2 linked regions of the Caenorhabditis elegans genome follow. The protein of the gene in region 2 purifies or fractionates together with the protein of the main gene of each other region. This does not show direct contact. Each region holds a gene or a part of one and is shown on either strand. Other genes may lie near its edges.

What was found. The genes of interacting proteins can lie anywhere in the genome.
Region 1: the proteins of F13G3.6 (region 2) and gmap-2 fractionate together in Caenorhabditis elegans (co-fractionation; one large-scale study listed by BioGRID). This does not show direct contact.

The regions. Positions count from the first base shown.
Region 1 is NC_003284.9:12,938,379-12,946,272, reverse strand, and holds gmap-2 (GM2 Activator Protein family member), read left to right. Parts: upstream 1-3,006; 5' UTR 3,007-3,013; coding exon 3,014-3,119; intron 3,120-3,169; coding exon 3,170-3,267; intron 3,268-3,370; coding exon 3,371-3,510; intron 3,511-3,733; exon of another isoform or gene 3,734-3,815; intron 3,816-3,965; coding exon 3,966-4,065; intron 4,066-4,119; coding exon 4,120-4,236; intron 4,237-4,282; coding exon 4,283-4,359; intron 4,360-4,534; coding exon 4,535-4,721; 3' UTR 4,722-4,831; downstream 4,832-7,894. Other genes in the region: nssp-88 (Neuropeptide-Like Protein), read left to right, coding at 1-34, 332-421, 502-657; gmap-3 (GM2 Activator Protein family member), read left to right, coding at 5,562-5,721, 5,765-5,886, 6,790-6,905, 6,960-7,170, 7,216-7,347, 7,404-7,523.
Region 2 is NC_003279.8:7,300,342-7,307,666, reverse strand, and holds F13G3.6 (Glycosyltransferase 2-like domain-containing protein), read left to right. Parts: upstream 1-2,976; 5' UTR 2,977-2,979; coding exon 2,980-3,099; intron 3,100-3,149; coding exon 3,150-3,423; intron 3,424-3,470; coding exon 3,471-3,724; intron 3,725-3,796; coding exon 3,797-3,966; intron 3,967-4,017; coding exon 4,018-4,155; intron 4,156-4,204; coding exon 4,205-4,322; 3' UTR 4,323-4,367; downstream 4,368-7,325. Other genes in the region: mrpl-13 (Ribosomal protein L13), read right to left, coding at 458-550; F13G3.7 (SLC (SoLute Carrier) homolog), read right to left, coding at 971-1,087, 1,247-1,318, 1,365-1,517, 1,565-1,664, 1,714-1,837, 1,883-2,105, 2,153-2,470, 2,511-2,525; Inositol monophosphatase ttx-7, read left to right, coding at 4,698-4,775, 4,978-5,114, 5,228-5,332, 5,441-5,595, 5,640-5,760, 6,241-6,502; dylt-1 (DYnein Light chain (Tctex type)), read left to right, coding at 6,773-6,814, 6,917-7,124, 7,245-7,315.

The DNA.
Region 1 (7,894 bases), on a different chromosome or scaffold from region 2:
GGCACATGCTTCAGGGCTGAGGAATTTTGAAAGGGTGAGTCAAGGAAATTTTACTTCTTCACTTCTGTGTTTTTTTTGAATTTACATAAAGCGTTTTTTTTTTTGGAACAACACTATTCTATTGATACACTTGAGAAATCCTAATGTTTTGAAGTTTTGGCCACGAGTTTAATGCAGGTGGAATTGTTAATTTTTGGCAAAGATAGAATCACGAGGAAATTTGTCATCCCTAAATAATTTTAAAACTTATAGTTAGCAGGTGCAATCAAATGTAGTGTGTTTTCAATAAACCACTGACTCATTTCATTTATTTCAATTTAATTTAATTCAGGACATCCCTCTGATTCCTGAAGATTTCATGGTGATGTGGCCGGTGGAATCATCCGAGAAAACGATCAAAGATGAGAATAAATTCGAAACGGTAAACAAATTACTTGGAATCCACTCCTTCCTGTTCACTTATGATTCTTGTTTCCAAGATTTCATCGAATCAGATTGCAGACCACAATATTGGCCAAGACTTCAAGACAGTCGTTGAATCAACATGAGACTGAAAATGAGGAAGTGTTTTCTGATGACAATCTGAAAATGGAGCGGGTGGCGAAAGCAGGAATCCGGCCAAAACTTCAACTCAGCAGCCGGCTTTGGGGGCGTTGAAGGTGCAGAAATGAGATAGTTGATACAATTTTTCTTTCCTCCAGTCCTTGTACTTTTGGTGAAATAAAGCTGTTTTGTTAGAGCTGTGATACAAAGTTTCCATCATACAAACAGTCTATTTTCTGTCAACCGAGTATAGCTTAAAAAATTAAAGCGTTTCAACCACGTCCCGATTATTTAAATTTATAATCGAGCAGTTACTAATAAAGGAAATTCAAGTCTGGTTACACCTTTTTTTGTTAAATTTTTTTTTGAAATGTCAGAAGAGATGCTCAACAGTGGGATACTTTTTTATAATTGCAAGACGTGCCTAATCCTTTATATAAGGTTTTGCATTGGACTTCCTTAAACTTAACACTTGTTACATCTTGGAGTTTTCTAAAATATTGTCAAGGTTATTTTGTCATAAAACTATTTTAGTGCACAATTATTCCATTGATTAAAATGCATGTTCAGTAGGTTGATGTGTGCCCAAATTTATTTCTACGCCTTTAAATGAACCGTGAAATAAACCTTTTAATTTGTAATAAAATTTTGCTAATCAGTTTTGATCAAATAAAATTTAGTCCAGTTTTAAGCTCTAGTATGTATACCTGGCCATTCACAAATTCAGAATTTGGTACAACTATCACAAGCGCAGTATTAAAACTGGTTTTGTCTAAAACACTGTACATAAAGTGACATTCAGATGTGTATGTGCGTGATTTCCTGCAAAAATTGTATACCTGAATGTAACGCAAGCAGACCAGCTAACACTTTGCATAGCGCATCGTTTCCTGATCGAATAATAATGATTCACACCTATTATCTATTATCCGCGGTTAGTTGGTGAAAGGAGATGAGGGGATTCTTGGCAAATTCTCGTTTCCGACCAATTCGCAGTCTTTATCGTCTTCCACAATTTCTTAGTATTATTCGTTTTTTGCCCTGCGTGTCGGCCCACCATTCATTTGCCCTTCCACAATATCTTTCGTCACACTTTTCTGTCCAAGCGTGAACCTTTGCTATTCAAGTGCACTCAAGCGAATTGCCAGCATTACAGAAAGTGTATAAAATGATTATAAAGACGGGTGTGAAAACTGTGTATTCGCAAGATGAAAAAGTGTGGACTTTTGGTTAAAGCTAGTGGAAATTTTTATTTATGTTTTAATCGTTCAATGACTCATTTTTCTTATCAAGGGGTTTTTGCAAGATTATATAAGTTTATGATTTTTTTTCATTAAAGTTCATTTTTTAAATTGCGCAAACATGATTGATACGTGAAAAAATGAAAAGATATATTTTTTAATTTTGCTTTACAAAATTGTATTTCGGGGGGCGGATAGCTCAGTCGGTAGTGGTGACCGCTAGAAATCTGGAGGTCATAAGTTCAAGTCCGGCCTCACCCCCTAGGTTCACCCAGCCACTATTGGGCTTAATGGTATTATGCCTATCATAATTTGTAGTCCACAAAAAAATCTTTGTTTGCCAAACTTCATTAGCTCGAATGCTCTTGCGACCACTGTTAAAACATTAATTCGTCCAAAGTAGTTTAAGAGTTATTCTATATGCCGGCGGTATTATTTTTCCACTAAGTTTCCCAAATATTCTATAGTTGAGAACCGAAGTATTATAAAATTACAAATAACTGTTGCGTTATTTCTGACATTGTTTCTGTAGTTTTTGAGATTTTTTGCCCACAAACTCCATCATTCATTTAGGTCTCCATTCTTACAAACAACATTTTGAAGTCGATTTGAAAAGATAGTCACATGAACACTGATTTTGTAAAGCGTCACAAATATTTCCCTTCTCAAACACACCTAGTACACACCATTAAAAGTTCCACATTAGTTCTTGTTCTCGTAACTAGTTTTCTTTTGTGAAATTCCAGAGGAATCAAATTTTATGACAAGTTGAAAAATTAGGGCGGACGACGACGAGGTGAACACTAAATCAAAGACCATTGGAATCTTCAATGTTCTCCTGGTCAGTCATCGTAGAACATTTCGCTTCCTTATTTCAGTTTATTTTTCCTTGTGGTCTCTGCCATAGTCCCGTTTTGATTGAAAGTCTAGGTCCTTCAACAATGCATATCATACCCGATTCTCTTTTTTCATGCTTAGACAGATCTCTAAGCTTACGTAACAGGTTCCTTCCATTCGTATCGTTTTGCCCCATTTGACGATTTTTCTTTTTCACAGCTACTTTCTTGCCGCATTTGCATTAAATGCTAAACTAAGATTGATTCAAATATTAGATATGAAGATGTTTCGATGATGGAACTATTTGAATTCAGTGACTTCTGTGACTTTTTCTATACTGTTCTTGTAACTTTCTGTAAATTTTTACATAAACGGTATCTTACAGATTTGTCATGATTACAAACTGCCTGATATTACTGGCAATTTTGTTTGGATTTGCATCGACTCAGTATCTGAACTTAAACCTTCATAGACATCAAAGTTGTGCATGGAGAAAAAGTAATTATTAAACTATCGTTGTCACTTTTTTAATACTTTACGTGTTACAGGTTCTCACTGGAACCGCAAAATCGAGTTCCAGGGTGGCCACTCGGATAGTGGAGCGCTACTCAAGTCAACTGAACAGAAAGGGTGCTATGCAATTAGTGTGAGTTAGCCCCCAAGAGTGTTTTATTTTGATTTTTGAAAAACAATAACAATGCTTGATGATTGACGTTATTACAATAATAATAATAATTCATTTTCTTTAGGGAAAAGTGAAAATTCATGAGGATGTGAGCGACGAGTTGTTGATCTACTTGTCCGTGTCGACCACTGGTGACACTCAAAGACCACCGGAAGTGTGCAGGGATGCCAATCCGGACACTGGTTGTGGAGGTGTTGGATCATGGTAATGAGTTATTGACAGAAATATTAGGGAAATCATCAAGATTCTAGAGCTAGAAAAAACATTAGGAAATGAAAAAAAAGCCTTTTGAGCAGTTAATGATAGATGAACAGCTGTGAAGTACCTAAAAGTTTTAAGTTAGAGGTCACTCTTAAAACAAAAAGTATAACTATAACAATTTCATACATAAGTGTTTAACCTGCAAAATAAATTAAAAAAAAAGAACTGAAGAGAGTGGGATTCGAACCCACGCCCCCGAAGGGACTGGTGCCTTAAACCAGCGCCTTAGACCGCTCGGCCATCTCTCCACGTACTACGCTATCATAATTTGTCGTTATGTTATAACTTCAAACAACAAGATTTAGTTGTATTTCGATGATTACGAAATTTAAATTTTCGAACTTGAAAATTTGTTGTTTTGTTGTTTCCAAAAAATGACGTAAACACTGCTGTTTCAGTCTCTACTGCCGGCCATGTGATTCTTTGGACTCTCTCACGAAAATTCTCGGAGCTCAACTTGTTGTGAACGGCAAACCAGCAGGATGTGAGCCATTAAAAGTGAGCAACATCGTTAAAAAAAATTTACGATGCAGTCAATAACACTATTTTTAGAAAGGAGAATATGATAATGTTGAACTCCGTTTCTGCCTTCCGAAATTAGCTGCATTGTTGGAATGGCAGGGAATTTCAGAAGACGCGTTAGATCACATTTTAGCTGCTACTACTCAGGTTTGACAAAATGAAAATAATTATTGAAAGAAAAAGTGTGTTTCAGGAAGGAAATGGTCCACCAAAGCTTAGTCTATTTGTGACCGTTTATTTGTTCGACAAGGATATTAAACCTCTTCTAGTGTAAGTTCTGAAAATTAAATAGGTTTTAGCCAGATTTACAGTTTCATATACCATCTAACAACCATTCACTATATTCGAGACATATATGTCACATACATTACAGCTATATGAAAAATAACACTATTTTTCACGAGTAGAAAATTTTTAAACAAATAGAAAAATGAAATAATTTCAGCTCTCAACGAAAACTAGAATCTCGCATCCGTGAACTTCGCAAACTTGGCGCTGATGAGCCAGTTGACTCTCAAACTTATTGGAATCTGCCATTCAATCAAATTATCAAAAAGCAGTCAGTTTTCGTTGGATGTCACAAACTTTACGGAACCATTAGCTTGAGCGACATTCAAGCCAAGAAGAAATAAGAAAATATATTTGGATGAACAACGATGATAACTTCATGTTTATTCATTTCGTTTATGCGGGTTCATTTTTTGTGAATTATGAAATAAACACAATAAAAATTATGAATTAGATAAGCAAATTGATCTTGACATTTAATAAATAACAGTCAATCTTTATGGTGATACTGTGCTCAAAGACTCGTTGTGTAAAAAACAACAGTTTTGTCTGGTATCCTTTTGAGTATGTTTTTTTACATTTCTTCAATATGCATTTTATTCAATACAACCTCAATATTTTGCTAGCCTCAAAATGTTTCTGGGATTTTGTTCAAAGTATTCTGTATACCCTTTACTTCTAGAATTTTTATTCTTGTGTATACAACAGTACACGAATTCTACAGAAAAATCTTGCAAAGTTACTAATAGTAAGGAAAACTGGAACTATATATGTTGTTGGTTAGAGATCATAAAGTGATATTTATGTAACACATCTGTAAAACTTTATTGCATTTGTTCTCACTACTAGTTGAAGGACATAAGGCTTTTGATTCATTATTTTCCTTTTTTTTTACTTTTTTCCCCTTTCCTTTTCTTTTAATCTCTTCATCTTTTCAGAATCTCATAACCTTCATGACCTCGAAACGCCATCCGACAATCATTTCACATTGAGGTAAAAGTAACACGAAAAAGAAAGAAAAAACGAGAAAAGTGGTTTTGATGGCTGTCAGACTTTTATTACACATTTGTACAATTCATATCTATATTCCCCTTTCACCCCCACCGTCACTGTAAACTATTCTAAAATCCAGCTGAAAAGGGGTGTGAAAGAAGGGCACGTCCTCGTCGCTTACTTCATAAGCCATGACACCTTCATTTGCGCATCGGTTTCAGTCGCAGATGTTGGTCGTTTTCTTAGCTTCATCGTGTCTTTTCGTTTCCATTTCCAACGCGTTGGAAAACGTTGAGTTGGGAAAAGATCTGAGTGTAACTCTTGAACTCATCAAACATCAACCATGCAAAAGTAGGTTTACGAGATTTTAAACCAAAGCTTATTTGGTTTTCAGGTGGTAAATGGACAAAGAAGTTAGAATTCGAGTCTGGAAATGATAGGAGAGGCCCGAAACTTGAACCACAAGCCGATAAGCCAAACTGTTTTACTATCGGAGGCCAAGTAGAAGTTCTAGAGGTAAAATATTGTGCTTTTTGTTTTGTTAATATTCCGTGTCTTGAAGGAGGACTAACGGTTTGGATGATTTTGAACGTTCAAACCCAAAATGAGCTCAAATAAACGAGTTTCGTAAGGAAACTTCTGATAAATTTTTCAAAATTTTTTTATGGCGGTTCAAAATTTTGAAAAAAAAATACACTGATTTTAGCTAAAATCTCGATTTTTGGCAACTTTTCCGTGTCGCAGCGGGGGACGTAGTTGACTTTTTTGGAATCATCGCCCTTTATTGCATATTTTGGTAGTTTATCTCATCCAATTTCATTGATTAAGGCACATTTAAAGCCGACAGGTAACCAATTTTGATGATTTTTGGTTACCTATCGGGTTTAAATCAATGAAATGTGATGATAAAAAATTACCAAAAGATGCAGGAGGATAATTCCAAAAAAGACAACTTCGGACCGCTGCGACACGGAAAAGTGGCCGAAAATTGAGATTTTAGCGAAAATCAGTGTATTTTTTTTCAAAATTTATTCATTCCAGCCCAATTCGGATTTATACGTTCAAAATCGTCCGAACCGTTAGTCCGCCTTTAAGACCGTGTTTTTAAGAACATCAACACAATCTGTATCTTTAAATGTAGTCTGTACAATTTAAAAATCACTAAATTATACCTTACTGAATTATTATTGGGCAAATTGAATTTTTTTATGCCAACGTGACAACGTGACAACATTTTAAATCAATATCATTCAAAACTTAATGTTTTTTTTCAGTATTTGTGTAGCGTATCAAAAGTTTAAAAATTATCTTACCCTGAGAAATAAAGAATTCATCACAACTTCTTATTACTCTCTAAGTATATACTTTGAATGAACAATAAAGCTACATAAAAAAATAAATTGAAACTCTCTATTTCAGGACTTTGGCGGAGATTTCTCCATTTATCTTGAGCTGAAGAACACTGCCAAAAAAAATACTGTCCCAGAGAAATGTGTTCGACAACCTGAAAACGGATGTGGAGGATTTGGGTCTTGGTTTGTTGCTATTAATTAATGTTGTCATACAATATTGATTTATCTTTTTTTCAGCCTGTACTGCAATGCATGTGAAACATTCGGTGACAAATTAGGAGTTCGAGCACAGCTGCTCCTCGATGGTCAACCAATCAGCTGCGCTGACGGATTGAAAAAAGGCAGCTATGACAACTTGAAGCTTGCTTTCTGTCTTCCAGACATTGATGATGTCATCAGCTCACAAGGGCTTAGTAAGGAGTCATTCTTGCAGCTGATTCAGGGTGATGTAAGTCTAAAGGTCAAAAAAGCAAAAACTGGCTGGAAATTTCAGGACGGAAACTCTGTTCGTGCTATGGGGATCTTTGCTACAGTCTACGTGTTTGACTCTGACGTCAGCAAACAAATGGCGACTCAAATCAAAATCGAGGGTGTATACCGTAGAACCAAGTACAGTTTTTTCAAGGTAAATCACAAGCTGAATTTTTCTCTTTTTAAAAGAGTATTTCAAAAATGTTACAGGACACTCAACTTCCGGCTGAAGTCTACTGGTCTCTTCCATTCAATCAAATTATCAAAAACCAACAAAGCTACGTGGCATGCCATAAGATTTACGGAAACTTGAAAGTTAACCGTAAATAATTTGTGATTTTCTAACCTAATTTTGCTTGTCTGTAAATAAATTTATTATTTTTTGAAATTTTTTGTGACTGTAAATCATACGATTTGGTGGCCCATGAAACAGTTGACGTGAAATAATACGTGCAAAGGAAGATTTATAACAATCAAATTCAGCAAAGAAAATAACAAGGAAGCTATTTCTGTGGGTGGCAAAAGTTTGACAACACAAACAATTTTATGGACTTCAAACTAAACAGTATAAAAACTGAGACCCGGCCATTACTTTGTATTACATTTTTAAATTAGTCAAATATTTTCAGAGCAAGAACCTGTTTTATTATATTATGGGTTACACATTTTATCTTGCGAGCTATACTTAAAAACCGACTGTT
Region 2 (7,325 bases):
GTTTTCTGGTAATTTTTTTTTACAAAAATGGACTTTTTCGATTTTTTTTCCAGATTGTTCAGAGGAAAAAATTGAAGAGAGAATGCGATTTTCTGTAGTTTTCAAGATTAAAAAAATTAAACTTTAAAATAATCGTGCCAAATTGGGTTTTGGCGGACTTACGACATTATAATATAAGTGGAAAAAACTGAGTAATTACTACAATTTGCGTGCTAATAAAATAAATTCAGGAATTTTTTGAAAAGCTTTACTATTGTGTTTGGTCATTGTTGAATTATTTTTTATCAGTGAGCAATAATTTGTATTATTTGAATAACTATGTGTATTAGAAAGGATTGCACTTATATTATTACTTAACACTTCCATTTGTCAACAACATGTTTTCCCATTTGATCGTCGACATGTTTACGTTCAAACATTCAAAAAAACAAAACAAGAGGCTTAAAGGTATACATACTTGTTGATTCGCATCAATCACGTGCCATTGTCTCGAAAACTGCAGCCATTGGTTAACACGGTCAAATCGAGAAACGGCACGCCGGTAGGACATCTGATTGTTTGTAAATGATTTTCAAAATGTAATTTCAACGAATAAATGATATAATAAAGATATTAGAGGAAATTTACCTCAAAAGGAAAAATCAAAAAGAAAAAGCAAACATCAAAGGATTTATACTCGAAAATGAGAAGGGACCGAACCAGAATAGTGAGAAAAAAAAGAATATTAAAGAAACAATTACAAAAAAAAAAGAAAAGTTCATAGAACAGAATTCGAAGAGAGCGGAAAGAAGGAATTTGGGGTGATATGATCACACAAAATTTACAATTTTGGACAGCATCTAATAATCTTCTAGGAGAAACGAAAGCGGTGTTGCATTGCTGCAAAATAAGAAATCTTAGATTATTTTTTTGGATGAAAGTATGAATACACGTGTGTGAGCAGTAAAAATTCGAAAATGAGCAGGTGCGATCACCAGACGATTTTGTTTTTAAACTCGGGCAGAACTGAGAACCGTTTGACACTTTCATAGGCAAGCATTACAAGACTTGAATAGAGAGCATTATTCACCATACGCGGTGCGAGACCCTGAAATATTAAAAACATATATAAATGTATTTAACTAATATTTTTCGTGAGCTCAGCATATTTTACGGATACTTATTTGAAGCAAAAAAATGGTGTAAACATGTTGATTTCTGAGCTCATTTTCTAAATTTGGTATATCTTGATTTGGCAAAACCATACCTTGGTGAATACTTGTGCTTTCTCATACTTCCATAGTCTAACAATCGTTTCCCTGTACGTTGTTCGATGAACCTGAAAATATTTTAATTTCATTGAATTAGATTACTAAAATTCTTACCTGTAACCGAATTCTCAGCATCTCCAATGGATTTGTAACCATTGCACTAGCGACTCCGCCAATAGAACCGCTCACAGCTTGGTCCAGGAACAAATTCCGATCATCAACTTCGGAAGGAGATGTTGGTTTCACTCCATATTCAAGTTCAGTGACCTGAATTAATAATTGACTTAATTCAGTTTAGCATAACTTTAACCTACTTTTTCACGAATCATTCTGAACACTGCTAATGAATTGTAATATGTAGACCAGAAAACCATTGTTGAAGGAATATACAACATGATTGCGGATAGGAATCCTCTGAAATTTTAAAATATGTCATAATTGAAACTGTAAAATATAAAAATACCTATAAAAACCGAAAATTCCATCAACTTTGTACACGGCCCTGATAACTCTCAAACCTAACGTTCTTCTGCCTTCGAGACCATCTTTTCTGATTGCATCTGCTACTGGTATATTCTTCTCTCCACCTAAATTATATTCTTCAGAGCAAACATTTCAAAAAAGCGATTTACCTCCAAATGCTTCTGGATTATTATGAACCATCATATGTTGAGCCACAATGTCAGTTGGTACAAATATTAGCTGTGCACAAGGAGAAGCGATTCCTCCGGCTAATGCAGATACCACAGAGTGATTAGTAATATGAAGATGGGTTTGAAGCAAGTCTCTGACTCTTTCATAAGCTGATGAATATAAAAATGAAGCTGACAGCTGGGGAAGTGTCATCCAGAATCCCTGAAATATTTTAAATTTCAATAAAACATCCGGTAACTAAAACTAACTTTATACAAAGCGCCGATTCCTTCTTGACGAATGATTTTAACAAATGCATCTCGCATTCCGTTATACACATTATTTTGTCTCTGTAGTTGTAGTCTGCTCTTCACAACAGACATTGGATACAGCATGCACCTGATTGTCCATGAACTGCACAGAGCCATTGGATAGAATTTGTACAAGTTGAGATGTTCCCATTGAATTACTAAAAGCTTGTCCTTCTGTATTTGACTCAGTGGAGATACTTTCGAGTTTAGCGGGGATGTTGCTATTGACCGAGCCTCAATCGCGGTGTCCATTTCAGACGAAACCATCTGTAACATCTTATGAACATTAGAACTTTTAATATCGGATAGAGCATACCTTTGCGAACCGCATGTTCTAATTTTAAAATCAAATAGTCGATCGTTTGGTCTTCAAGGCAAAAACGAGCAAAGTGTGAGAATCGGCTTAGAATTGAGCATCACCTGGAGAGTTTTTTCGAAGGAACTTCAAGCGGATATTTTGATAATCTGACTAAAACAGGAAAATACGTATTTTTTAAAATTTTATAGAAAAATAGACAGATGGAGAGAAAAACATCAACAAAGAACGAGTAGTTTAAAAATGTTCACCAACAAAAAAGAGGCACCGCATTACGGCGAGGGAGTGTGCTATTGAGAGAGACACAGCGTCGTAAGAACGGAGCATCGTAATGCGCCTTGTTTATTTTTATTCAAAGTTTAAAATTCCATTTTAATGTTTTGTTTTCCGTTTTCGGTAACGCTCTTTCAGCTTTTATGAATTTTTTCGTTTTATAGTTGGTTATTGTTCAATTGAATGTTTATAGGGTATGATGAACTATCAATATGACGTCTCTGTCATAATTCCAGCCAAAAATGTAGAAAAGTTCTTGCGGGAAACACTCAACGGTCTACTCGACCAGACAGCTTGTGAAAATTCAAAAATTGAGGTTAGAAATGCGTATGGTTTTGTTTCTTCTAATTAATAAAAATATCTCAGATTTGTTTGGCTGACGACGGGAGTGTAGATGACACTGTTAGAATTCTGGAAAATGCGCGGCTCGAGTTCGAAGAGATGGGAATGAATGTCGTTGTTACACACGTTCCTCAACCCGGTGGAGTTGGTGCCGCTAAGGATTGTGCTGTAAGATCTTCGAAAGGAAGATATCTCTGTTTCAATGATGCAGATGATGTCAGCTCTCCGAACAGAATCAAAAGCCAATTGGAGTTGGCAACGAAGTTATCGAAGTCTGGAGATGATTTAATTTTTGTAGGTGAATAAATTGAAGTTAAGTATAATACGATCCTAACTGTTTGTTAGGTGGACAGTTTCATAGACTACCAGAAGGCTCCACAACAAGATACACAAAATGGGCGAACTCGATGATCGGAGACAAAATCAGAAGTCAAGTCTACACATCTCATGGTCCCACGCTCGTTGCTCCTACTTGGTTCATTAGTAGAGCACTTTTCGATAAGGTTGGCGGTTTTCGAACAGATGTTTCGTGTGGTTTTCCTGAAGACTTAGAATTTTTCTACAAGTGCTTGGATTTCCCGGAGTGTATTTTTGATAAAGTAAGTAAATTGGCAATTTTAGCTGGAAAGTTAGCTTGAAAAAAATTCATTTCAAAATGTGTGTTATTTCAGGTCGATGATGACATTGTCATGTACCGATACCATAAAAACTGTGCATCACACAGCGTTCAAGAACAAACAATTTGGAATTTCCGTTTATCGAGATTAAAAGAGAAATACATCGCAAAATGGGACAAATTCACAATCTGGAGTGCTGGGAAGCAAGGAAAACGTCTTTTCAAGTAATGGTTTATGCTTGAAAACATTCTTTCAACATATACTACATTCTTTAGAAGTCTCACAGATGACGAGAAGATCAAAGTCAGAGAATTTTGCGATATTGATGAGTCAAAAATCGGGAGAGGTGTTCATGAAGAGTTTGATGAAGTGTCACGCAGTGTGACTCACAAAGTTCCAATTGTTAACCTTGAGTATGTCTTCACTTTCTCAGTTTCTTACTAAACGTATTATTTGTTTTAGAAATGCCAGGCCTCCGCTCGTCGTTTGTGTCAAATTGGACTTGACAAATGGTGATTTGGAGCGTATAATTGAACGAAAAGGCTGGAAAGAGCACGTCGACTTGGTTTACTTTGGTTGACAGACTGCTATCCGATACTTGATATAATAAACAATTTATCCGTTTAAATTTTGCATTTTGCGTTGTCTCATTGGTTCTCAGTGACTCCAATGTACTTTGATGTTGCAAATTTTTGTGTCTGGTCATTTTTCTCCCTCGTCGTTATCATTTTTCCTAACAGAACATGGGAAGAGATTACTAGGTGTCTCTGCGTCTCGTGTCTCCGAGTGATCTCTAATTTTCTCGCTCCGTCTGCTCGCGTCGTTGGAAAAACGACTCTGGCGCGAGTTAGTTTTCCTAATAGACGGCTTCTCCGTTTAGCTTCTTTAATTTATTTTATTGTTTTTCGGCAAAGTGGTTCCCTTCAGCTCTTTATTCATTGATTTTAAGTTTTAGATGGTGTTCCAACCAATCCACGAGGAAGAGCAAGTTTTCGTCGACTACGCCATTGAGTTGGTTAAAAAAGCTGGAACGGTGAGTTGAATTCGGATTAAAAAATCAAACTGTTTCCTAAAACAACAACGTCGTTATTATCTTTGTCTTATTTTTGTTAATTTTACAAATATGCACATTTAAATCAAATGCGTAACTCGAAAAACAACATTCTCTATTCCTCAGTTACGAAACAAATTTTATTATTTGAAAAAACATCAATATTCGAAAAAAACATTTTCAGCTCGTCCGTACCGCGTTTGACTCCCCGGAAAGCAAGGTTGACACAAAATCATCGAATACTGATTTGGTGACTGAAACTGACCAAGCTGTTGAAAAGCTTCTCATCGAAGGGCTCTCCGAGAGATTCAAAGGACATAGGTAAGAGCAAGGAATTCCCACGGTCCGCTCGATTTCACTCATTGTCTCCATGACAACCAGTTGGACTTTCTTTTTCAATCGAGTATTTACATAAATTTACTATTTTGATTCAGATTCATTGGCGAGGAATCTGTAGCCGGAGGTGCGAAAATTGAATGGACTGATGCACCAACATGGATTATTGATCCGATTGATGGAACTACTAACTTTGTTCATAGGTAAGATTTTTTTTAAATCGGACTCTTCAAATAATGGCAAATCGCGTTATTTAATTTCTAATTTGGACTCAAATTTTTCTCGAAAAACAAATTCTTATGTTATTATAGAATCCCTATGATCGCAATCTGCGTTGGACTTGCAATCAAAAAACAAATTCGTGCTGGAATCGTATACAATCCAATCACTAATGAACTTTATCTCGCTCAACTCGGAAAGGGAGCTTTCAAAAATGGATTTCCAATCCGAGCATCAAAGAATCAATGTAAGTAATTGCACTTTTCTTGTCATGCACCCTGCTTTTTGAAGTGCTTTCAAAGGGAGTTCTCTGTCAATCTCTCGGTCTGCATAATCGTGTTCAGTTCGGCGATCGCTGGCTCGACATTGCCCAGTCAAACATGCGAAATCAAGTGATGGCTGGTGTGCGAGGGTTTGTTTTAATTTTTTGGTCTAAAATTGATTACTTTTTTACAAAAAATATACCTCCACACTTCCCGCGCTGGTTTTGCACGTTTTACTTTCAATTTTATTTACATTCACATAGAAACGTTGCAAATTCCAGTCATTGCGGAAAGTGTGCTCATACTTCAACTTGGCTCAATTCGATCTCCTGTTATGCAGAAATCATTTGTTGATTCTTACAAGACTGTTATGTTCGACAAACAATGTCACGGGTACTTATAAATATTTTTTATATTCTTGTCGAAATCTAGTGACTTTCTTGAACTGTGCGTTTGCAAATTTTTTGAAAGTTTTACTAAAATTGAGAAATGGATAAGATGGAAAAGTTAGATGTTGGATGGACAAAGTTTAATATGAAAAAAATCACGAGGATGATGTGATATTATTATTTTTAATATTGTTATACATAATAAAAGTTATTTGAAAAAAATCCAAGTTTTTTTTTCAGACACCGTTCGTTTGGCTCCGCCGCGATCAACATGGTGATGGTTGCACAAGGAAGTTGCGATGGATATGTTGAATACGGGATTCACGCTTGGGATGTTGCTGCTCCTTCTATCATTGTCACAGAAGCCGGAGGTGTTGTCACTGATCCAACTGGATCCCCATTTGACGTCATGTCAAGAAAAGTTCTCTGCGCTGGAACAGCTGAACTCGGACGCGATTTATCTGCATGCCTCACTCATGTCGATTTCGAGCCGGAAGCCTAAATATATATTTAACTATTTATTTTCAAAACTCACATATTGTGACATAACATTCCTACCATAACATGCATTATCTGTATTTCCAATTTAATATTAGTTTTTTGATTTTATTTTCTAGTCGTATGTATTCTCGTTTTATGAGAATAAATTATTTAAAGATGTTTATATCTTAATTTCTGATACTTCAATTGCCGTTTGAGCGCACTTGATTTATTTATACTGTCTCTTTTTTAATAATTAAACTCAATATTCAGCTCTCACAAGCTCAACATCATGGCTTTGGCAGAGGAGGACGTTCACATGATCATCAAGCAGGTACCGATATTTTATATGTCTACTGTATTAATTCTTTGAAAAACTATAATTTTTGAGTTGATTATTGTTTATTCACATTCTCGTAATCCAATAATCTTTCAGGTACTCGACGAGGTTGTAGGCGCAAGCACCCAGTATACCCACAAGGACAGTGTTCAGTGGAATCAGAAGGCCGTCGAACAAATAACGAAGAAGCTAGTGGCAGCGGGAAAACCATACAAATATGTGGTTACCTCGTCGTTCCTTCAGATCTCGAGCGGTTCCGGTCTCAATGTTAGCACGATTTCCTACTGGAATAAAGTCACGGATTGTGAGTTAACATTTTGTATTAAAACATTAAATAATAAAGAGGGAAATAAATTTATTACTCACAAAGTTCTGATTTTGAAAGTTGGTATTCAACTTATAGCTCAAAAAATCTCATTTTCAGCCTCGTACATGTACCGTTGGGAAGCCAAAACAATGCTTGCAATCGTCTATGTTTTTGCAATTGCAATTTAACAATCCACAG